Notamacropus eugenii: one gene and its partners. The protein of the gene in region 1 binds, or shares a complex with, the protein of each later gene. Links are inferred from orthologs where the notes say so. Each region holds a gene or a part of one and is shown on either strand. Other genes may lie near its edges. The genes, in order: EIF2B2, EIF2B3 and EIF2B1.

Region 1 (7,514 bases):
ATTTAGACATAAAAGGTGATAAGCAAATTAGAAGAGCAGGGAATAGTTTACCTATCAGATCTATGGAAAAAGGAAGAATTTATAACCAAATAATGTAGAAAACATTTTGAAATGCAAAATGGGTAGTTCTGATGACATCAAATTAAGAAGTCTTTGCACAAACAAAGCCCAGGCAATCAAGATTAGAAGGAAAGCAGAAAACTGGGAAACAACTTTTACTGCCAGTGTTTCTGATAAAGTCCTCATTTCTCAAATATATAGAGAACTGAGTCAAATTTGTAAGAATACAAATCATTCCCCAACTGATAAATGGTCATAGGATATAAACAGGCAGTTTTCAGATGAAGAAATTAAAGCTATCTATAGTCATATGAAAAAATGCTCTCAATCACTCTTGATTAAAGAAATGCAAACTAAAACAACTCTGAAGTACCACCTCACACCTATCAGATTGGCTAACATGACAGAACAGGAAAATGATCAATGTTGTAGAAGGTGTGGGAGAGTTGGAACACTAATGCATTGTTAGAGGAGCTGTGAGCTGATCCAACCGTTCTGGAGAGCAATTTAGAACTATGTCCAAAGGGCTACAAAATTGTGCATACCCTTTGACCCAGCAATACATTATCACGACTGAATGCCAAAGAGATCATAAAAAAATGGAAAAGGACCCAGATGTACAAAAATGTTTATAGAAACTCTCTTTGTGATGGCCAAGAATTGGAAATTTGAAGGGATGCCCATCCATTGGGGCTGAACAAATTGTGGTTTATGGATGTAATGGAATACTACTGTGCCATAAGAAATGATGAACGGGCAGATTTCAGGGAAAAAAAACATGGAAAGACTTACACGAACTGATCTTGAGTCATGTGCGCAGAGCCAGAACGTGGTGCCTGGTGACAGCAACACTGTGCAATGATCAGCTTGGATAGACTTGGCAAGGTTCTAAGACAATTCCAAAGGACTCATGATGGAAAATGCCAGCCCATCGTGAAAAGAACTAGGAAGCTTCAATGCAGATCAAAGCAGACCATTTTCACTTTTTTTTCCTTTCTCATAGTTTTCCCCTTTTGTTCCTAGTCTTCTTTCACAACATGACTATTGTGGAAATTTGTTTAATATGATTTTACATGTAGAACCTACATCAGATTGCTTGCTGTCTTGGGGAGGAGAGAAAAGAAGGAGGAAAGGAGAAAAAAATGGAACTGAAAATCTTGGGGGAGGAGCCAAGATGGCAGGGTAGAAAGACACACATATGCTAGCTCCAAACCCACAGCCCATAAAATACCTATAAAGAAGAACTCCCAACAAATTCGGGAGCAGCAGAAGCCACACAACAACGGAGCAGAGGAGATTTCTGTTCCAGAGAGACCTGAAAAACTGACCCGAAAGGTCCCTCCCGCACCAGACCCGGAGCAGAGCCCAGCCCTGGCTTCGCCGCAAGGCACCAAGAGGAGCAGATCCGAGCAGGCTTCAGGGACAGAATCTCCAGCAGCCGAGCAGGTCTCTCCACCCACACGAGGCAAAGGTCAGTGAGAGGGGCTTTTCAGTTTGAGGAGAGGGGAGTGGGGTGCCCCTATAACTCAGGCCCCCTCTGGAAGCAGCAGCAGAGGCAGCAGCGGACAAGGGCCCCCAGAGCAGGCAGAAGCTCGGATCCATTGTTGAAGATCTCTGCATAAACCCCCTGAGGGAACTGAGCCCCGTGAGGTGGCCCTGCCCCCACCTGAGCACCTGAACTTAATCTCACACTGAATAGCAACCCCACCCCCGCCAAAGCCCTAAGGCTGGGAAGCAGCATTTGAATCTCAGACCCCAAGTGCTGGCTGGGTAGAGGCTGGGTGGATCTGGAGGCCAGGTGGGTGTGGAGAGGACACTCAGAAGTCAAGTAACCTACTGGGAAAATGCCCAGAAAAGGGAAAAAAAATAAGACCATAGAAGGTTACTTTCTTGGTGAACATATATCTCCTCCCTTCCTTTCTGATGAGGAAGAACAACGCTTACCATCAGGGAAAGACATAGAAATCAAGGCTTCTGTATCCCAAACATCCAGAATAAATATTCAATAGGCTCAGGCCATGGAAGAGCTCAAAAAGGATTTTGAAAATCAAGTTAGAGAGGTGGAGGAAAAACTGGGAAGAGAAATGAGAGAGATGCAAGAAAAGCATGAAAAGCAGGTCAACACCTTGCTAAAGGAGACCCAAAAACATGCTGAAGAAAATAACACCTTGAAAAATAGGCTAACTCAATTGGCAAAAGAGGTTCAAAAAGTCAGTGAGGAGAAGAATGCTTTCAAAAGCAGAATTAGCCAAATGGAAAAGGAGGTTCAAAAGCTCACTGAAGAAAATAGTTCTTTCAAAATTAGAATGGAACAGATGGAGGCCAATGACTTTATGAGAAACCAAGAAATCACAAAACAAAACCAAAAGAATGAAAAAATGGAAGATAATGTGAAATATCTCATTGGAAAAACAACTGACCTGGAAAATAGATCCAGGAGAGACAATTTAAAAATTATGGGCCTACCTGAAAGCCATGATCAAAAAAAGAGCCTAGACATCATCTTTCATGAAATTATCAAGGAAAACTGCCCTGATATTCTAGAACCAGAGGGCAAAATAAGTATTCAAGGAATCCACAGATCACCGCCTGAAAGAGATCCAAAAAGAGAAACTCCTAGGAACATTGTGGCCAATTCCAGAGTTCCCAGGTCAAGGAGAAAATATTGCAAGCAGCTAGAAAGAAACAATTCAAGTATTGTGGAAATGCAATCAGGATAACACAAGATCTAGCAGCTTCTACATTAAGGAAGTCAAAGGAACTAGGACTAAAACCAAGAATCACCTACCCAGCAAAACTGAGTATAATACTTCAGGGGAAAAAATGGTCTTTCAATGAAATTGGGGACTTTCAAGCATTCTTGATGAAAAGACCAGAAAAGAAAAAGAAAATTTGACTTTCAAACACAAGAATGAAGAGAAGCATGAAAAGGTAAAATAGGAAAGAGAAATCATAAGGGACTTACTAAAGTTGAACTGTTTACATTCCTACATGGAAAGACAATATTTGTAACTCTTGAAACTTTTCAGTATCTGGGTAGGTGGGATTACATACACATACACACACGCATGTGCACGCACACACAGAGACAAAGAGCACAGAGTGAATGAAATAGGATGGGATCATATCTTTAAAAAAAATGAAAGCAGTGAGAGAGAAATATATTGGGAGGAGAAAGGGAGAAATGGAATGGGGCAAATTATCTCTCATAAAAGAGGCAAGCAAAAGACTTTTCAGTGGAGGGAAAAAGGGGAGAGGTGAGAGAAAAAAAATGAAGCTTACTCTCATCACATTCCACTAAACAAAGGAATAAAATGCACACTCATTTTGGTATGAAAACCTATCTTACAATACAGGAAAGTGGGGGATAAGGGGATAAGCAGGGTGGGGGGGATGATGTAAGGGAGGGCATGGGGAGGAGGGAGCAATTTGAGGTCGACACTCATGGAGAGGGACAGGATCAAAAGAGAGAATAGAAGCAATGGGGGGCAGGATAGGATGGAGGGAAATATAGTTAGTCTTACACAACACGACTATTATGGAAGTCATTTGCGAAACTACACAGATTTGGCCTATATTGAATTGCCTGCCTTCCAAAGGGAGGGGGTGGGGAGGGAGGGAGGAAGAGAAGTTGGAACTCAAAGTTTTAGGAACAACTGTCGAGTATTGTTCTTGCTACTAGGAAATAAGAAATACAGGTAAAGGGGTATAGAAAGTTATGTGGCCCTACAGGGCAAAAGAGAAGATGGAGACAAGGCCAGAGAGGGAGGATAGAAGAGAGGGCAGATTGGTCATAGGGGCAATTAGAATGCTTGGTGTTTTGGGGTGGGGGAGGAGGGGACAAAAGGGGAGAAAATTCGGAACCCAAAATCTTGTGAAAATGAGTGTTAAAAGTTAAATAAATAAAATTTTAAAAAAAGGAACTGAAAATTTTATAAAAGGGAATGTTGAAAATTTACCTTTCCATGTAACTAGAAAAAATAAAATACCATTGAACAGGGGGAAAAATGTATCCAGGTCCATCGGATAACCACCGCCATCGGATGCCATTTATATTCTGGATATGAGTTGGCTTTGAGATTCTGTGCCACCGCCATGGAGGAGCCAAACTTCATTGAGCTCCACGCAGAGACGAAAGGGGAAAGCCTGGCTTGCCGTTTCCATAGCGACAGGTCATAGAGCCTGGAGGACTTGGGGACAGATATTACCAGGTGAGGGAGCATTCATTCACACTTCCGTTTCTCCTTACGAATGGCAAACGGGCGCAGAGCCTCAAGTCTCTGATTGGTTCCAAGGAGGAGGCAGCACGAGGAGGGGGCGGGGCAGCGCGCGCGAGGACCGGAAGCATACCCTGATCGCCCTGGAAGTAGAAGGCTGCGTCGTTCTCTCGGCCCTCCTGCCGTCGGTTCTCCCGTGGAGCTGTCAGTCCTCGAGATGCCGGGCGCCGCTGACAAAGGGACGGAGCTGTCCGAGCGGATCGAGAGTTTCGTGGAGGCGCTGAAGCGGGGCGGGGGCCAGCGCAGCTCCGAGGAGATGGCCCGGGAGACGGTGGGGCTGCTCCGCCAGATCGTGGCCCACGGGTGCTGGAGCAACGCCGGTGAGGGCGCGGCGGGAGAGGCCGGGGCGGCCTCGGGGGTCGGGGGGAGGACCAGCCCCGCCAGCCCTGCGCTCACGCTGTTCCCTCCCTGGCTGCAGGGGAGCTGATGGCGCTCATCCGGAAGGAGGGCCGGCGGATGACGGCCGCGCAGCCCTCGGAGACCACCGTGGGCAACATGGTTCGGAGGGTGCTCAAGATCATCCGCGAGGAGTACGGCAGGTCAGCGGCCCCGGCGGCCCAGCCCCCTCCCCCGCCCCCCGCCGGTAGTAAGCATTCATTCGGCGCCCACTGTTTGCCAGCCACTGCGCTCGGCCTACAAAGAGAGGCGAAAAGACAGCCCTGCCCCCAGGGAGCTGACGGCCCGGAGGGACAGAATCCACTCTAGCTGGAATCGGCGGGGAAGTGGGGTGCGAGCGGTGGCGGGTGTGTGCAGACAGTGCCAAGGCACGTGTGGCTCCCGTCCCTTGCCAGCCCCTGACTCCGCCACCTGGGGAAGGCGCTGTTTCTCTGGGCCTTAACCTCTGAGGTTCTGTGATGCGGGGACGAGCGGGCTGGACTCGAGGCAGGGTCGGGTTGGAGGCCGAGCTCCCGCCCTGGCCTCTGCATCTTTCGGTCACTAATGCAGGAGATGTGGGCCACTTCCCGTTGTACCATCTTGGCACTTGCTGCCCCTCCCAAGAGCCTTTCTCCGTGCCCGCCTCTCCCAAGAGCCTTTCTCCGTGCCCGCCCCTCTGATGCCGTCTTATCTCCCCAGGCTCCACGGACGCAGCGACGAGAGCGACCAGCAGGAGTCCTTACACAAGCTGCTGACCGCTGGGGGCCTGAATGAGGACTTCAGCCTCCACTCTGCCCAGCTCCAGGCCAACATCATTGAGGTTATCAGCGAGCTGTTGATAGAGCTGGGTGAGTGCGTGGCTGGGCCCGGGCTTCGGGGCTGACTGGCGACATGGACAGAAAGTAGTCTGGTCTGCAGGTCTTCTGACCTCTTCTCCTGGGCTCTTTAGTCGGAAGCAAGGGTTGAAATATGGGGCTCGTTGGGTGCTTAGCAGACCAATAGCGGACTTCGGATCCCTGAGCTGAGCCGGCAGAGAGAGACTCAGTAAATAAATTGAACTCACACCAATACAGGAATAAATGAATAAATAGATTCAGAGGGTGAGACGGTGCTTTGGGTTTGTATATGAGAAAGCGATACTCAAACCATGGTTAGTAGGCCTTTCTTCTTAGAGGAGTTACGTGGTGTAGCGGATGGAGTGCCGAACTGAGAGGCAGAAAGACCTGAGTTTGAATGCAGTCTCAGATATTTACTAGCCCTGTGCCCCTGACCAAATCTGTTAACTTGTCACAGTCAAAGTCAGGAAGCTTTTCATTTATAATTATTCATGTACACACACATATATGTGCATGTGTATATATTATGAAATAAAAACTATAAAATAGTTATAGCAGTACCTCGGAGTTGTGATAAAGATCAAATAAAAGAGTATTTGTAAAGCCTAGCGCACTGTGTGTAAACATTATCTGTGATTATCGCTTTTATTGTGATGTTGCTTCACTAAACATGGTCTCTGGAGATTTGCAAAAGTTCATCAGAGAAATAACAGTGCCCTTTAGCATCTCAGTTTCATGTGCTTTTGTTTTTAGTGTTTCCTCCCCACCTGTGTTTTCCCTTGGGGTCTTTCTGGCATGCAGTGATACTGACTTGTAGCTTTTTTTGGAAAGAGAACCTTTTAATGGAAATTCCACTTTCCCCTTCTTCAGCAATTTTAGGTTTGACAGATTGAAAATTTTCTTGATTAGATAATCATTATCTTCAGAACCAGTTGCCCCAAAAGGAGCTAGTATATATCGCAGTAGCTACAGTGACATGGGCTTGAAATAGGGGTGGGTTTTTGTAGAGGATACCAGAGGGGGCAAGGTGGCTGCACTTGTCTGATTAGGAGTAAAAATTCGGCTTTTGTAACTTTTCATTTCAGACATTTTTGATGTGGTGCCCCAAGGTGTAGTTTCCCTGTAATGTGTGCTGGTGGAATGTTGTGCCAAGGACACAAATCTTTCTTCCCAACTTGGTGTCTAATTTTCCTGTAAATTGATTGTACTTGCAGAAGGGACAACGGAGAACATAGCAATGCAGGCTCTGGAGCACATTCACTCCAATGAGGTGATCATGACCATTGGATACTCCCGGACCGTGGAAGAGTTCCTCAAAGTGGCTGCCCAAAAGCGGAAATTTCATGTTATTGTGGCAGAGTGTGCTCCTTTCTGCCAGGTACTGAAGGAGCTACAGAAAATTGAGAAAGATGGGAGGAGGTAGTAAAGGAAGGGGTGGTTGGATCCATTCTGACTGAATTGGTAAGCAAGGGGTAATGATGACTTGGGGGGAAAGTGTCTGATATAATGAAAAAAATCAAGATAACTCTATATAGTGAGACGTTAGTGGAATTAACTAAAAGCTGATATGTCTTGTACCTGCATCTGTGTTGGGAGAGGGAGTTGCCTCATCAGAAGTGAAATCACATGACTGGTCAAAAATTGTGTGATAGTTGGTTTGAGAAAGCAGTAGTGAATTGCAGAGCTTAGGACATAAGAGTTGAGACGGCACATTGTAGTGGAAAGAGCATTGGCTTTGGAGTCAGGATCTGGATTCAAATACCAGCTCTGTCCCTTACTATCATTGTGACCTTGGGGAAGTCACAATCTCCCTGGCCCTCTTTTTCTTCATATGAAGTACGAGGCAGCTGAAGTTAATGGTCTCAAAGGCTCCTTTTGGCTTTAAGTCAGTGGTGTAGGGATCTAAATAGGGCAAGGAACTTTAGAAATGATTGGTGCTTGGGCTGACCTCAATTTCTAGAAACAT
Region 2 (7,486 bases), on another chromosome or scaffold:
TCCCAGCAACCTGGGAGAGAATAAGGAATATGAAATAATCATGTAAAGCAGAAATCTATAGAATCATTTCATTAATTGCCTGGAAAAGCCAATGAGTTTCACATTAATGCTAGCAGAGGTCTGGGACAGAGGCCAAGCTCAGCCCAGATCTAATCTGCCGGGCCAGCCAGGTGTGGAAGTAGATAGGGACTCTTTGGGGGCCCTTGACACCACAGCTTTGGGGGCCTTTCCAAGAGCCTGTAATGTTGAAAATAAAACAAAGCTACAGCACCATGGGGAAAATTCCCAAATGTAAAACTGGGCTCCTCATTTTACTATTTCATAAACACATATTATTTCATAGACAATGAGGCATCATGGAGATTGCTAGAGAGTTACCCTTAAGTCTGGCCTCCCTGGAACTGAGAGTTTAATTTCTTTTGGCTTCCCTTTCTCCTTGCTGTTCTCTTCTGTGGATTTTTTCTTTCTTTGACTTTTTTTAGTCAACTCTTTTCCCCTGCCCAAGTCTTCCTCCTCTCCTACCAGAAAAAGCCAACAAAAAACAAATCATATCAGACATTTAAGGTTTGTTGGGAAGGAAGATTGCTATCAAGTTTCATTATAAAGCACTACCGAAATGTGAGGTAGCATTCTTATTTTCCCATCACATATGACTCAAGATTAAGAAATGAGTCCATATGATGCAAAACGCCATCCACATCCAGAGAAACAACTATGGAATCCGAATGCAGAATGAAGCAGACTATTTTCTCTTTTGTTATGTTTTGTTTTGTTTTCTCTCATTCATTTTAAGTCTTCTATGCAACATGACTAATGTGAAAATGCGTTTAATAGGAATGTATGTGTGGAGTCCATATAAGATTGCATGCCATCTTGGGGAGCGAGGAGGAGAAAATTTGGCACTTATGGGAGTGATTGTTGAAAACTGAAGACATTAATAAATTTGGAGAAAAAAAGAAATGAGTCCAAGGGCTTGTGGGAAAAACTGAAGCCTCAATGTTTTATACCATGAACAATTTCTTTAAGAAGAAAATCCAGGTATTTATATCAATATACAAATATATCAGCACTTAATTGTAGTCTTCTGGGGGAGCAGGGGGAAGGAATGGGAAAAAAGAACAAAGTAAAAGGGACATAACAGAGAATAAGGAAGCAAAGAAAAGATGGATAGCTCTCAACGCAACGTGTAGTATTTATTATACAGGCTTTCTTGAAATGGAAATTTATTGCTATATGTTTTGAATTCTTTTTTACATTCTGCTGTGCATATGATATCCTCTCTTTTTCTTATTTTGTAATTAAGTTTCAGTAATAAAAATATAATTGGAAAATATTTAATACAGTAAATGAAAATGTAATAGAAAAAAAAGAAGAAAATCTAGGGCACTAGACATGGAGAATTGCTAAATAACCACAAAAAATGAAATTGACTATATCTTAACAAAAAGGAAAAGACTAGTTACCAATATGGAAACATTCTAAAATCAACTATGTGTGTGCAACCAAACTAGCCATTTGTTAGAGCCAAGTTCAGAATTGAGAATAAAATTGAGAAGATATAGTGTGTTGCAATACAGTTCCGACCTGACCTATTTGAATAAGCATATTGACAATGAAAAATGAGATTGGAATAAAGGAACAGAAATTGGCATAGATCATCAATGTTTCCTAAGGAAGTGTAATTGATTTATGCAAATCGATCACCACGATGAAGTGGCTCAATGATTTGAGAAACTGCTGCAGCAAGTAAACATTTTCTCCATCTCATCAAGAGGGAGCAGTTTGGTGGCAAAGTGGATAGAGCATTAACCCTGGAATCAAGAAGACCTGAGTTCAAATCTGGCCTCAGGCACTAGAATCTAGGCAAGTCACTTAACCCCGTTTGCCTCAGTTTCCTCATCTATAAAATGAGCTGGAGAAGCAAATGGCAAAGCACTCCAGGATCTTTGCCAAGAAAACCTCAAATGGGATCAGGAAAAATCAGACACGACTGAAAAAAACAACTGAACTATATATATCTATCAAGAAAATCCAGCCAACAGGGAAAAGACAGGTTAGAATATAAACTCATTGGAAAATCTTACAGAGGAGGACAGTAGAAGATTATGAATCATATCACCTAACAAAACAGAAGAAATGGAGGGAAAATGAGTCTCTAGAAAGCTTAGGGAGTGACCCAGTTCCTTAAGAACATTTGAAAAGTAGAAAAGATCTGTCTTTAACAAACTGTTCTCTTCATCAGGAATTGTGGAACCACCACATTTGGACTCTAACTTAGTCCTTGGTGTGCTACATACATAAAGAACGAGGAAGAGCATTACCACATCTGTTGTCTAGAGAGAAAGAAGAAAAGGACTGACAGGTACAAAGACATTTATACTGGCTCCTTGTGGTGGCCAAGAACTGAAAACGCAGGGGATGCCCATCAATTAGGGAATGGATGAAAAAGTTATGGTATATGAATGTGATAGAATATTATTTTGCCATGAGAAATAGTAAAGGCGAGGGTTTCAGAGAAACCTGGAATGATTTGTATAAATGGAGCTAGAGGGAAGGGGGCAGAACTAGAAGCGATACAGTAACAACATGGTAAAGAAAAGTATCTTGGGAAGACTTCAGGACTCTGAGCAGCTCCAGGAGACTGATGGCAAAGTCTTCTTCCCAGCATAGTCCTGACAGAGGTGATGGATTGTGGGGTGGGTGGAATGAGGCACACACACAGCTCGGGACAGGGCCATTCCACCAGCCCAATAAAGGCAGAATCCGGAGGGATCCTGGGAGCTTTGTACACACAGAGTGGACAAGAGGGGCTGGACAAGATGAGACCAAGGCTCTGCACTGGCCAGAGAGAACAGTGAGCAGGTAGGGAGGGGGCTGGACTGCCAGCTGCTAAGAAACCTTAGCCTAGTGAGACGCAGGCAGGCATTTAGGGGGTCCCCTGGTGGGAGCATGTGAGGAGACGCAAGCCGGGCTGCTGGAAACACACAAGGGTCCACTTGGCTGTCGGGGTGAATGTGTTGCCACCTGGTGGACAAATCGGTCAGTTGTTGGTAAAGTGATGCCAGGCATTTCTGAAGCCTTGCAAACAGGACACAACTGCTCACCCGAGGGCAGTGGCCCGATGGGTACCTGGGACAGCCGCCGAGCGCCCAGCAGGGGGTCACACGTCCTGACAAACAGCTTACTCTCGCTGTGTTGCTTTCGTGGAGTGTGGCTTGTTACTTGGGCCGGCTCTGGAAGCTAGGGGTGCGCGCGAGATGGAGCAAGGGGAGAGGATCCCCCTCGGTACCTGGCCCAGAGTGGGGGGTCAGCGAAGGCTGGAGGGGTGGGCCGGCTTGGCGCTGCTGCCCCGGGACTCAGAGGTTTCCCACAGCCGCAGTCTGGGGCCGGTCACCCCGAAAGCGGGGCGATTGCGCGGCTTGGGAGGGGCCAGGACCGGCCGGAGAAGGGGACAACCGAGCCCCGGCCTGGGAAGCCGGGAAGTTCCCCGGCACTGCCGCTGCTGTCCCCGGGCCGGCCCGGCTCGCCTTCTCGGCTGCTCGGCAGGTGGTGAGCTCGCTGTCGCCGCAGGGTGCCCTCGGCGGCTCTGCACCCGGCTCCGAGGATCCGCTCCCCCCGCCCTCTCCCGCCTCCCTCTCTGCCCTCTCCTCCTCTAGCCGCAGGGATTCAGGATCCTCTGTTCGGCGCTCGCTTATTTTGGGCTGGTCCTCTCTCCTGGCCCCGCCCCTGGCTGATCGATGCGGAGTAGGCTCTCTGCGCAAGCGCAGTAGCCTCGTGGTCGCCATTGGGCTGTCAGTTTGGCGTGTGACTGGAGGCTGAAGGAGAGGTGAAGCTGGGGGTGGCCTGGGTGCTGTCTGTGTGTGAGGGCTCAGAGAGCCCGGGAGAGGGCACGATCGGAGGGCCGGGGAGCCCCGGGTCCTGGCTGGGGGGAGGGTCAGTCTGGGGGGCACCAGGGTCTCTAGGGGAGGGTCAGTCCGTGCAGCAGCCCTGGGGTCCCTGACTGGGGGGAGGGTCAGTCTGGGGGGGGGGCACCAGGGTCTCTAGGGGAGGGTCAGTCCGTGCAGCAGCCCTGGGGTCCCTGACTGGGGGGAGGGTCAGTCTGGGGGGGGGCACCAGGGTCTCTAGGGGAGGGTCAGTCCGTGTGGCAGCCCCGGGATCCCTGACTGGGGGGAGGGTCAGTCTGGGGGGGGCACCACGGTCTCTAGGGGAGGGTCAGTCCGTGCAGCAGCCCTGGGGTCCCTGACTGGGGGGAGGGTCAGTCTGGGGGGCACCAGGGTCTCTGGCCTGGGGGGAGGGTCAGTCCGTGCAGCAGCCCTGGGGTCCCTGAATGGGTCCATGGATGTATAATCTGTGAAGTGAGTAGGCTTGGTGGTCCCTGGCCAGGTCGCCATCTGCCAGGCTTGTGGCAGCGCCGCCTGGGGTCTTCCTCTGCCCCACCTTCCAATGTCCAGTGTCCAGGTGAGTCTGTGGCCTCTGAAGCCCATGGCCGGAGTTGGTGGAGCTCATCTGAGCTCAGTAGCACCAAGTCTTGCAGTGGTGCAGCAACTGAGAGAGGTGGAGCACTTGGATGGGCAGCTCTGCCAGCCTACCCCAGAAACTTCCCCTTTGGGCAGTGTTGTATTTGCAGAGGAGCCATTGGCTGCCCAAGGCTCAGGCTGGCATGGTGGTACCCCGATCTTTGTGGGGAAATCAGGAAAAGTGGTGTTTTAGCTAGGCTTTGAAGGAAGCCAGGAGGCAGGAGGCAGAGATGAGGACTGCCTTCCAGGCATGGAGGATGCCAGGGAAAATGCAGAGGTTTGGGAGATGGAGCATCTTGTGGCAGAAACAACCAGGAGGCTAGTGCAGCTCCATGGGAGGGGAGGGGGTGGCGATGGGGCAGGTCATGAAGGTCTTTAAACGCCAAACAGGATATTATTTTTTGATCTTGGAGGTGAACTTCTGAAACCACTGGAGTTTATTGAGGGTGAGTGTGTTTCTGTGACATAGTCAGACTTGTGCTTTAGGAAGTTCACCCAGGTACCTGAGTAGAGGATGAACTGCCTTGGGGAATGTGGCAGGAAGACCCACCTGCAAGCTGTTGCAGCAATAGTCTAGGCATAAGAGAAGGAGAAAGCCTGTACCAGGTGGGGGTCAAGGTGAGGTGGGGCTGTGTGTGAAAGCATGGGAGGGGAGGAAGGAGTACATGTTGTTCAGAGACAGTAAGAAGGGAGGATAGATAGGCCTTGGTAACTAATTGGATGTGGCTCCTCAGTTGAGGACCTGGGTGACTGGAAAAATGGTGATGCCCTCGACTGTAAGGGGAAACTCAGAAAGAAGGAGGGATTTTGGGGAAAAATATAATGAGTTCAGTTTTGGTCATGTTGTGTTTAAGATGTTTATGGGACCTTTGTAGTTGGAGATATCCAATAGGCAGTCAAAGATGTGAGTCTGTAGTTCAGCCAGGAGGTTAGGTTTGATTAAGTAGATCTGAAAATCATTTGCATAGATGATACTTGAATTCATAAGGAGATGATGAGATCACTAAATAAAACAGTATAGAAGGAAAAGAGAAGAGGATCCCAGGACAAAGCCCTAAGAGATAGCCACTGTGAGACATCTCCACTTGAGTGAAGAACTAGCGAAGGAGACTGAGGGCTGGTCAGATAGGTAGGAGGAGAACCAGCAGAAAATGGTGGCCTGAAAACCCAGAGAAAGAGATTATCAAGGAGAAGAGGGTGAAGGACAGTGTCAGATGCTGGAGACAGGGAAAGAAGAATGAAGACTGAGAAAAGGCCATGGGGGAGGGGCAGAGCCAAGATGGTAGAGTTGGACATTAAGGGATTGGACAACTAGTTGGACAACTTTGCTGGCCGCCTGGGAACCTTATCATCATTAGGGCAGTTAGGAGGAGTCTACATAGAGTGAGGTTAGGGTTTTTAGTGGATTATGTTGGATCATCTCCCAAAAAAGGGGGGGGGGTGAGAAAAAGGGTTGCCCTGGGAGAAAGGAAAAGGGAAAAGTAGAGTGGGGAAAATTTTCTCACATAAAAGAGGCTTGGAAGAAACCTCACTTTCATCAGAACTGGTTCAAAGAGGGAAGAATATGTGTACATGCTCAGTTGTGTATAGAAATCTATCTCACCTAAAGGGGAAATAAGAGAAGGGGATAAGAGATATGGGAGAAGGGGAATGATAAAAGGGAGGTTGGGTTAAGAGAGGCAGTCAGAAGCAAAACAGACTTTTGAGAAGGGACAGGATAAAAAGATAGAGAAGGATAAATGGAAGAAAATAACATGGAGGGAAATACACAGTAATCATAATTGGGAATGTGAATGGGATGAGCTAACCCATAATGGAATCAGATAACAGAATTGGTTAGAAACCAGAATTCAGCAATATGTTATGTTCAAGAGACACATTTAAAACACACATGAAAGACATACAGAATTAAAGAAATAGGGCTGGAGCAGAATCTAATACACTTCAGCTGAAGTGAAAAAAGGTAAGGGTAGCTATGATGGTCTCAGACAAAGCGAAGCAAAAGTAGACCTACTTAAAAGAGAGGACCAGAGAAACTAGAGTTTTCTGAAAGGTACCATCGACAATGAAGTAACATAAAAAATTTTTACACCAAGTTTCTCCAATAAAGGCCTCATTTTTCAAGTATATGAAGAACTGAGCCATATGTATAAAAATAAGAGCCATTTCCCAATTGATAAATTGTCAAAGGATATGAGCAGGCAGTTTTCAGAAGAAGAAATCAAAGCACTCTATAATCATGTGAAAAGATAGTTCAAATCTCTATTAATTAGAGAAAGGCAAATTAAACAACTCTTAAGTACCACCTCACACCTATCAAAAATGACAAAGGCATGCTCTTTGATCCAGCAGTATCACTACTAGGTCTGTATCCCAGAGAGATCAGAGAAAAAGGAAAAGGACCCATATGTACAAAAATATTTATAGCAGCTCTTTTTGTGGTGGCAAAAGATTGAATATCGAGGACTGGCCCTCCAGTTGGGGAATGTCTGAACATATTGTATCATGATTGTGATGGAGTACTATAAGAAATGACAAGGAGGGAGGTGATTTCAGAAAAACATAGTAAGACCACTATGAAATAATGCAAAGTGAAGTGAGCAAAACCAGGAGAAATTGTGCACAGTACCAGCAGTGTTTATAAACACACACACACACACACACGTGTATATACACATATATATGTATATACACACATATATACACATACACACACACAAACTTGGCTACTCTAATCAATATAGTGTTCCAAGACAATTCCAAAGGATTCATGATGAAAAAATTCATCATGAAAAAAATCCTCTCTCCAGAGAAAGAATGATGAACTCTGAATACAAATTGAAGTATAATTTCCTTTTTTTTGCTTTGTTTTATGATATAGCTAATATGAAAGTATGTTTTGCATGATATTAATTAATATCATGATATAATTGATGCATTGTTTGTCTTCTCAGTGACTGAGAGAGGGG
Region 3 (7,354 bases), on another chromosome or scaffold:
CTATACTTAAATTTAACAACATCTGTAATTAAATAACCAAGGAACATAAGTTTTTGCAGGAATGCTCAAGTAAAAATATTTGAAAATTTCTGAAAATTGTATTTTTCTTCTTTCTCTTACATGTGACTATTTCTACCCATTACACTGAATAAACACTAGATTCCTGCAAAGCGTACAGCACCACACCTGGAAAACAAATATAACGTATCTTGAGTGTTCATAGTTTAAGTTACTGCTATGTGTGCACTAAATGCTTGCTTACTGATTTTAAATATCATAACATTCACAATTTAAATTCTGCATATCTTTTTCCACAAACAAATTCAAAAGAGTATATTGAGTTAAATGACATTTCAAGAGTCAAAATTCCTTATCTTAATTTCAAAATGGCAATTCAGATATTCAATTAAATTAGTATTAAGATTTTAAAAAGTAATCCTCAGCATAATGAACTTTACCTGAGATTCTTTCAAAGCTTGTTTTCCCCACCAAATTGGGTTTGTATCAACTATGATAACTAGAAGGTTTAATTCATCATCTGAAATCACAAGAAACATGAGAAAGATCAAAAAACAGTTAACATTTCCTATTTCACCAGTTTAATCCACAGCTCAATTACAACCAACCTGCTTATAAATATCTATTGTTCTACAGAAATGCAGGTTAAGAGGGTCTACACAGGGGAGAGGGCCAAGATCTTCTAAAAACCAGGATGAGGTCAGCCTATAGAAAACGCCATCTCTTCTCTCCTTGTACACCCAACGGTCCAACGCACTTGATGCCTGGAATTGTTTTTGTCATGAAGGCTAAAAGCTAGGAAAACTTATTTACCCTAAAGTGTTAACAACTTACTGGGTTATCCAAGTCACCTTTAGAGTTTAAGAGGAGAGGGCAATGCTTTGGGGCATCTCAAAAGCAAATCAGTTAAGGTGGAAATCCTGGTATAAGTGAGAAAAGAGATTTAGGGAGTAGAACTGGCTATCAGCTAGCCTTGATAAGGAGTCAATCAAAGGCCTTAAGCTCAAACCACCTACACCCACCCACACCCACACCCTCACCTACACCCACACACACACCCCCCCACCTCCCCCACACACATCCTTACATATATTTTGTATCTACTGGTACTGGTGCCAAGGCACCAGATATGCTTAATAAATGTTCACCAAATGAAGAATCAATGCAGAGACTTACACAAACCTTTGCTGTTCTCTGCGTATGATGTCACATCCCCTGCCTCTGGGCTTCTGTGTGCCTCCTTCCTTCTTACCTATACCACAAAAAATCCCTCACTTCCTCCAGAAAGTCCTTTCCTGACCCCTTAAGTGTCAGTGTTCTTGCCCCACTGAAATGGTTTTCTATTTATTCTATATTCTGGTTACAGCTTTTCCTCAGGATGCAGGGTTAAAAAGCAAAGGATTCCCATGTTCTACTATAAAAAGTGATTAGGCTGATCACTCAGGATATGAAAGGGGAATTTCAGACAGTTTTTTCCTCACAGAAATAAAAAAATGTCAGAACCGGAAGGGGTCTTGGTGACCATCTGAGGCAGTGTGGTACAACATACGGAGAATTACTAGAAAAACCTGCTTTTGACTCCTGGCTCTGGCACTTAGTCGTGGTGGGAGGGGGGACTCCCACTTTTTAACCCCTCAGGGTCTCTAACTCATCTTCTGTAAAATAAAGCTGTTGTACATAACTCAACAAGTATTCAGCAGACTCCTAAATGCCAGGTATCTGTGCAAGGCACTGGGGAGACAAGGGCAAAAGGCAATGATTGCTACTCTCAAGTGCTTACAATCTACTGGGAGGAAGCAACACAGATGGAGAAATCAGAGAAGGAAGAAATCTAAAATAATTTTTTAGGGGGAGGCAAGGCAAGGGTACTAACAACTAGGGAGATCAGGAAAGACCTCCAAGTAATGGTGGCGTCCAGTTTGGCCCATGAAGTAAGTTAGGGATTCTACAAGGTAGAAGTTAGGAGGAAAAGCATTCAGCATCATGTAGAGGCAGGAGGTGGAAGGAGGAAAGTAGGGAACAAGAAGGTAATACAGCTGGTAACAATGCAGAATGTCTAAGAGAGAGTAACATTCCATGACTTGGTAAAGATAGGCTGGAGCCAGATGGTGAAGGGGTTTAAGGGCTAGACGACTAAATGATCTCCAAAGTCTCCTACAGATCCCTGCACCTAATCCAAGCATTTCATTTTACAGATGGGGAAACTGAGGACGAGAGGGAAAAAGGGCACTCTTGCTATCCTCAAAGACTCCTAGAGCTCTGTACACTCTCACTGGCCACCAAACACTCTAACTGACCTATGTTACCTTATTCTTTAACATTTACTTTTAAAATTTTCATCCACATTTTTATTTTAATCTAAATTCTCCCTCCCTCCAGCCTTTCCCCCATCCACTGAGAAGGCAAGCAACATAATACTCATTATACATGTGAAGTCATGCAAAACATTACATGTCACATTCTTCACAGCAGAACGTAAATTTCTTGAGGGCAAGGACTACTGATATTTCTTTTAAATTAAAAAACGTCTTTCCAATTCTAATTTTTAACATTTAAAAAAAATTTTGAGTTCCAAATTCTCTCTCCTTCTTTCCCCTCCCCACTCCTTGAGACAACAAGCAATTTGATATGGGTTATACATGGGCAGAGAAACTATTGGCCTGTGAATCACTGGTACCCAGCACAGTGTATTTCACATAGTAACCAACGTGGTGTAACGGAGGGAGTGCTGGGCTAGGAGCCAAGAAGGACTGAGTTTGAATCCTGCTTCTAACGCTTCCCTTATATGACCATAAGTAAGTCACTTTAACAGAGGAATGATGCCCAAAGAAGCTGCCTCATGGGGCTCTGCAAGCCTGAAAGTAGCTGTGACTTGAATGATTTTGTAAAATCCCAGAGTTGGAAAGGGCTGACTGTGGCTTCTGGGGTGCTTCCCAAACTGGGGTGCTCAGTGCTCCAGATATCCCCTGGGAGCATCACTCCAGCAGACCTGAACACCAGGGGCCCCTCAGCTGTCCTCCATCTAATACCAGCAGTCGCCTCAATTCAATGCACAATTGCCTAGATCTTTCAAAAGAAACAAGTACCAACTGTGCTGAGACCCTCAGTTCTTTCTCCTATGAGCTGCAGACTAGCCAAGCACTGCCTCCCCTCACCCAGCGATACATAAAAGCTACAGAGCTGGCAGGGAGCCTAGAGGTTTAGTCCAATCCCTCGCTCTTCACTTTATCAATGAAGAAATTGAAACCCAGGGAGTGGATCTTGCCCATCTGAAGTGACTTGCCCAAGGTCACCCAGTTATAGTAAGTTTCAGAGGTCGGATTTGAACCCACGTCCTGTGACTCCAGAACTGAGACAAATGGCAGTAAGTGACCTGCCCAGAGTCACACAGCTAGTAAGTATCTGAAGAGGTATTTAAACTGAGGTCTTCCTGGCTACAACTGTAACACTATTGTTCTCTTTGTTTCTTTTTATCCCTAATGCTTGGCAACATTGTAAACGTTTGATAAGTGCTCCTTCATTCATTCATCATCCTGCAGCCCATGCAGGAAAGGACCTTAGAAGTCCTCATTCCAACTCATAGAGTTAATGAGCATTTATTAAACTGCCGTGGGCCACAGCCCGTGCACAGCACTGGGGATACCCCTACCCCCCCCAAAAAAAGGCAAAACAAAAAACCAGACAGCCCCCAAACAGAACACATGGGGCGAGGGTGGGGGCGGGGCATCACCAGCCTCCTCAAAGAAGACGAGGTCGCTCAGAGAGGTCACAGGACCGGAGGGACCCTCGGACACCATCTAGTCCGGCGGGTGCTTCGGGTCAAAGGTCCTTGACCTTGCTTGACCTCAATTTAATTGGGTTTCTTTGGGCATTTTATGCATTTACAACTTGACTCTGGAAGGGGGTTCCTAGGCTTCCTCAGGCTGGCTGGCCCATCGGAGCCTCGGGTCTAGAGGAGGAAACTGAGGCTCCGAGAGGGGAAGGGTCTGGGAAGCGTCGGATGGAGGGGTTGAATCTAGGCCGGGGCTCTCTCCCTCACCTTACAGGGGAGGAAACTGAGGCCCAGGAGGGGGACGAAAGGCCTGGCCCGAGCTTCCCTAGGTAGCTAAGCACCAAGAGGCGGGATTTGCACCTAAGTCTCGACCCTTCCCCTCCACAGCTCTGGGCCCCTCCAGGCGCTCTCCCCGCCGCAGCCCCCGGTCCGCTCCGCCGGCTCCGGGGCTTCCCTGTTTGCCCCAGGGCGCGCTCACCTTCGGAGATCATGGCGAACCTCCTGCGCTTCAGCGGAGAGCCGCGGGAGCCCCGCGGCCACCGTACTGTCCTGGCCTTCTGCGCAGGCGCGAGCTGTCGAAGGAAGTTTGGCCTCTACCGGCCGCCGTACACGCGGGCTGCTGGGAAATTGGGCCCGGCCCCGCCGTGGGCGGGCCGTGCGTGCCTCGGCCTGGACTATCAGTCACCGGGCCGGTCGCCCGGGATAGCTGTGGGGAAAGGCGGACGGCCTCGTGGCCGCGGCGCCATGGACGACTCGGGTAATGCGGGGCGGGCTCGCGGGACTCGGGGCGAAGGGGGCTGGAACCCGGGACTCCCCAGAGCGAAGGAGGGTGGGCTAGACCTGGAGGCCGGAAGACCTGGGTGTGAATCCCGCCCCGGACCTTTCCCCATTCGTAGAAAGGAGAGCACGCTGGATTTGGGCCTCAGTTTCCCCTTTTGTAGGATGAAGAGGTTGGACCGGCGGGGTTTAAGCTCTAAATCTGTGGAGGATCTGGGTCCAACCCCGGCCTCCCTGGGCCTCAGTTTACTCATCTGTAAAAGGGGTGGCCCAGGAAGTCCCTTCCATCTGCTGTATGTGCGCCTACACGCATGTACACGTGTGTATATGTACACGTGCATCCATGTGGGCGTGTGTCTGTGTACATAAGCGTGTGTATACAGATGTCCACGCATGCGTGCACATTCCGTCCCTGCACCTTCGCCGAGAGACCTTTCCAGTTCCCTCTGCCCATCACCCCAGTCTGCCCCCGCTGCGCCTTGTTTGTGCGCCACTGTTTGCACGCCGGACCGGGAGCTCCCGGGCTCCCTTTGGGCTCCTTCGCACTTAGGAGGCGCCTCTGAGTTGGGCTCTGCGTGCCGGGCACCGCCCTGGGCGCTAGCTGGCACCAGGAGTACCTTCGCAGGCACATCCAGAATAGGCACAGGGTCATTTCGGAGAGCAGGGAGGCTTCGTAATTCAGGAGTGATGACTCCGAGAGATTGGGAAAGGCTGCTGGATTGGGGGCCGAAGCCCCTCCGCCAAATGGGACCTCCCGACTGTCGGGCACTTTGCTTTTTCTGGGTCTCCGTTTCCTTAAGTGTGAGATAAAGTATTGCCCTCAGGGTACGAGCCTGTGGTGGCTTCCCCCGGGCACTCTAGGAATGCCTGGTATTACAGTAAGAGCGCTGGATCTGGAGTCACCCATCTGAATTCCTATACTCTTCTCCTCCGAAGTTTCTCTTCATTTTGACCTCCATCTGTAAAATGAGGGGTTTGTATTTCCTTACCTCTAACCCTGGGACTCACCCTAGGGGCTGAGGGTCCTCAGGCATCACAGGTGATGCTGTAGGTGATACAGCCTGCCGAATGAAACTTGACGTATTTCTTCCCATGGTCCCCTCCTTCCCAGATTTGATTGAGTACTTTAATTCCCAAATGAAAGAAGATCCTGATGTGGCTTCTGCTGTGGCCGCCATCCGCACCTTACTTGAGTTCTTAAAGAGAGACCAAGGTAAGACGATCTCAGTCAGCAGTTCCCCAAATTCCTTTCTCCAGGAAAAAAATGTTGGAAAGCCTTATGTGTCTGTGAGTTTGCATAGCCACATGCCCCTTCACTCTTGACTGTTCTCAATTTAATTTTGACCCAATTCCCAGTTATAATCAACTAACATTCAATAATTAAATACCTACTATTCACGGAGCATTATGCCAGGCTCTTAATAAGAAAGGAGACCTTGACTTTGTACTTATTTTCTTAGATAAAATGCATAACCTTTTCCATAGAATAGTGCTTTGAGAGCTCATTTGCAGAATAGAGATATACTGTAAATTTATTTGAGCATTTTCTGTTCCAAAACGTATTTAGCTCAAATCATTGTACTAGCAGAACAGATTTTTATTCTCAGATAAAGAAATTGGGTTCATGTACTTAGTAACCCCTTCAGCTTAATTCTCTGAGATGTGCCAATGACATAGACTTGACTGATTTCATAGAATCTCAGGTTACTTTTGCAAGGTGAGAGTAGCAGAATATTGTGGAAAGAACATTTGGAATGTCACTTCTTCTCAGGCTGTCAGCTTTCTCTTTCGTATAGTAAGAGATTAGATGCCTTCTAAGATTCCTTCCAACCCTAAATCCTAAAATACGGAGGAAGCTGTCGACTAAGAAATCCCTCTCTATTTCAGAGATCTTTGTTTGTAACATAATTGTCCTGTAAGATAAAAGGATGAATCAGTTTCCAAACGCAAGTTTTATTGTACTATTGAACTTTGCAGGAGGAACAATTCAGGGTTTGAGAGCAAATCTCACAAATGCCATTAAAATCCTGTGCAGCGTAGATTCTTCTGTGGCAGTCTCCTCGGGTGGAGAGCTCTTCCTTCGGTTCATCAGTCTCACCTCCCTGGAGTATTCAGTGAGTTCATGTCCTGTCCAGACTGCTTTTGTGCTTCTTTACGTGGCTCTGGACAGCCTCTACCTTGATTTCTCTTTCACTTTTTCTAGGATTACTTAAAGTGTAAAACAATCATGATTGAGCGAGGAGAGCTCTTTCTCAGGAGGATCTCACTTTCCAGAAGTAAAATTGCCGACCTGTGCCATACTTTCATTAAAGATGGAGCTGTAAGTGGAATCATGAGTTATCAGTGCTATGTGGGAGAAAATGTTGTAACGACTTATGTAATGAGGTATTGGGAAGGGCTTTGTGGCTCTGGGACTCAGGAGTAACAATTTCAGTTGGTGTTTTACTAGGATAATCAAACTTTGATGGTGCTTCCCTTAACCAGTATACATCCATGTCATCATATGTGCACATACCAGTTGTCTAATTACCTTCTGTCTCTTAAATACCTCCCTCTGAGTTTATCCCCTTTGAAGTACATTAGTAATTACTGAAACAATTCAAGGGCCATGGGTCGACTTGTACATCATCTCACCTGACCAGAAACGAGATCATTGACTTCCTCACCATCTCTCTGTTTCATCGAACACACACAGTCATGTTAAGTTATATAAGCCTTTCATTTATTAAATTCATTTTAGCATAGTTCATACATATCTGTATGTTCCTCTGCTTTGGTTTAATGATG

Evidence for each region.
Region 2: EIF2B2 (region 1) and EIF2B3 share a complex: the UniProt entries of both Homo sapiens proteins name them as parts of the translation initiation factor 2B (eIF2B) complex. The link is inferred for Notamacropus eugenii from reciprocal best matches to the Homo sapiens genes EIF2B2 and EIF2B3.
Region 3: the proteins of EIF2B2 (region 1) and EIF2B1 are in contact, whole or in part, in a cryo-EM structure (PDB 7F64), measured with the Homo sapiens proteins. The link is inferred for Notamacropus eugenii from reciprocal best matches to the Homo sapiens genes EIF2B2 and EIF2B1. Residues at the interface, in NP_055054.1 of Homo sapiens: Glu107, Ser108, Leu109, His110, Leu112, Leu113, Thr114, Ser115, Asn242, Phe278, Asn280, Glu281, Glu282, Ser334, Tyr337, Arg338; in NP_001405.1 of Homo sapiens: Leu71, Arg74, Phe75, Leu78, Arg96, Leu99, Phe100, Arg103, Lys110, Thr117, Phe118, Lys120, Ser232, Phe235, Leu283, Asp287, Leu288, Val290, Thr292, Ser294, Ala295, Asp298, Glu299, Leu300, Lys302, Leu303.

Annotation. Positions count from the first base shown.
Region 1 is NC_092878.1:57,859,325-57,866,838, forward strand, and holds the start of EIF2B2 (translation initiation factor eIF2B subunit beta), read left to right. Parts: upstream 1-4,403; 5' UTR 4,404-4,494; coding exon 4,495-4,657; intron 4,658-4,755; coding exon 4,756-4,876; intron 4,877-5,411; coding exon 5,412-5,560; intron 5,561-6,762; coding exon 6,763-6,926; intron 6,927-7,514. UniProt on the Homo sapiens protein: Acts as a component of the translation initiation factor 2B (eIF2B) complex, which catalyzes the exchange of GDP for GTP on eukaryotic initiation factor 2 (eIF2) gamma subunit.
Region 2 is NC_092873.1:506,431,252-506,438,737, reverse strand, and holds the start of EIF2B3 (translation initiation factor eIF2B subunit gamma), read left to right. Parts: upstream 1-4,393; 5' UTR 4,394-4,443; coding exon 4,444-4,458; intron 4,459-7,486. UniProt on the Homo sapiens protein: Acts as a component of the translation initiation factor 2B (eIF2B) complex, which catalyzes the exchange of GDP for GTP on the eukaryotic initiation factor 2 (eIF2) complex gamma subunit.
Region 3 is NC_092875.1:38,934,181-38,941,534, reverse strand, and holds the start of EIF2B1 (translation initiation factor eIF2B subunit alpha), read left to right. Parts: upstream 1-4,279; coding exon 4,280-4,547; intron 4,548-5,678; coding exon 5,679-5,780; intron 5,781-6,544; coding exon 6,545-6,681; intron 6,682-6,770; coding exon 6,771-6,887; intron 6,888-7,354. Other genes in the region: GTF2H3 (general transcription factor IIH subunit 3), read right to left, coding at 459-538, 4,269-4,281.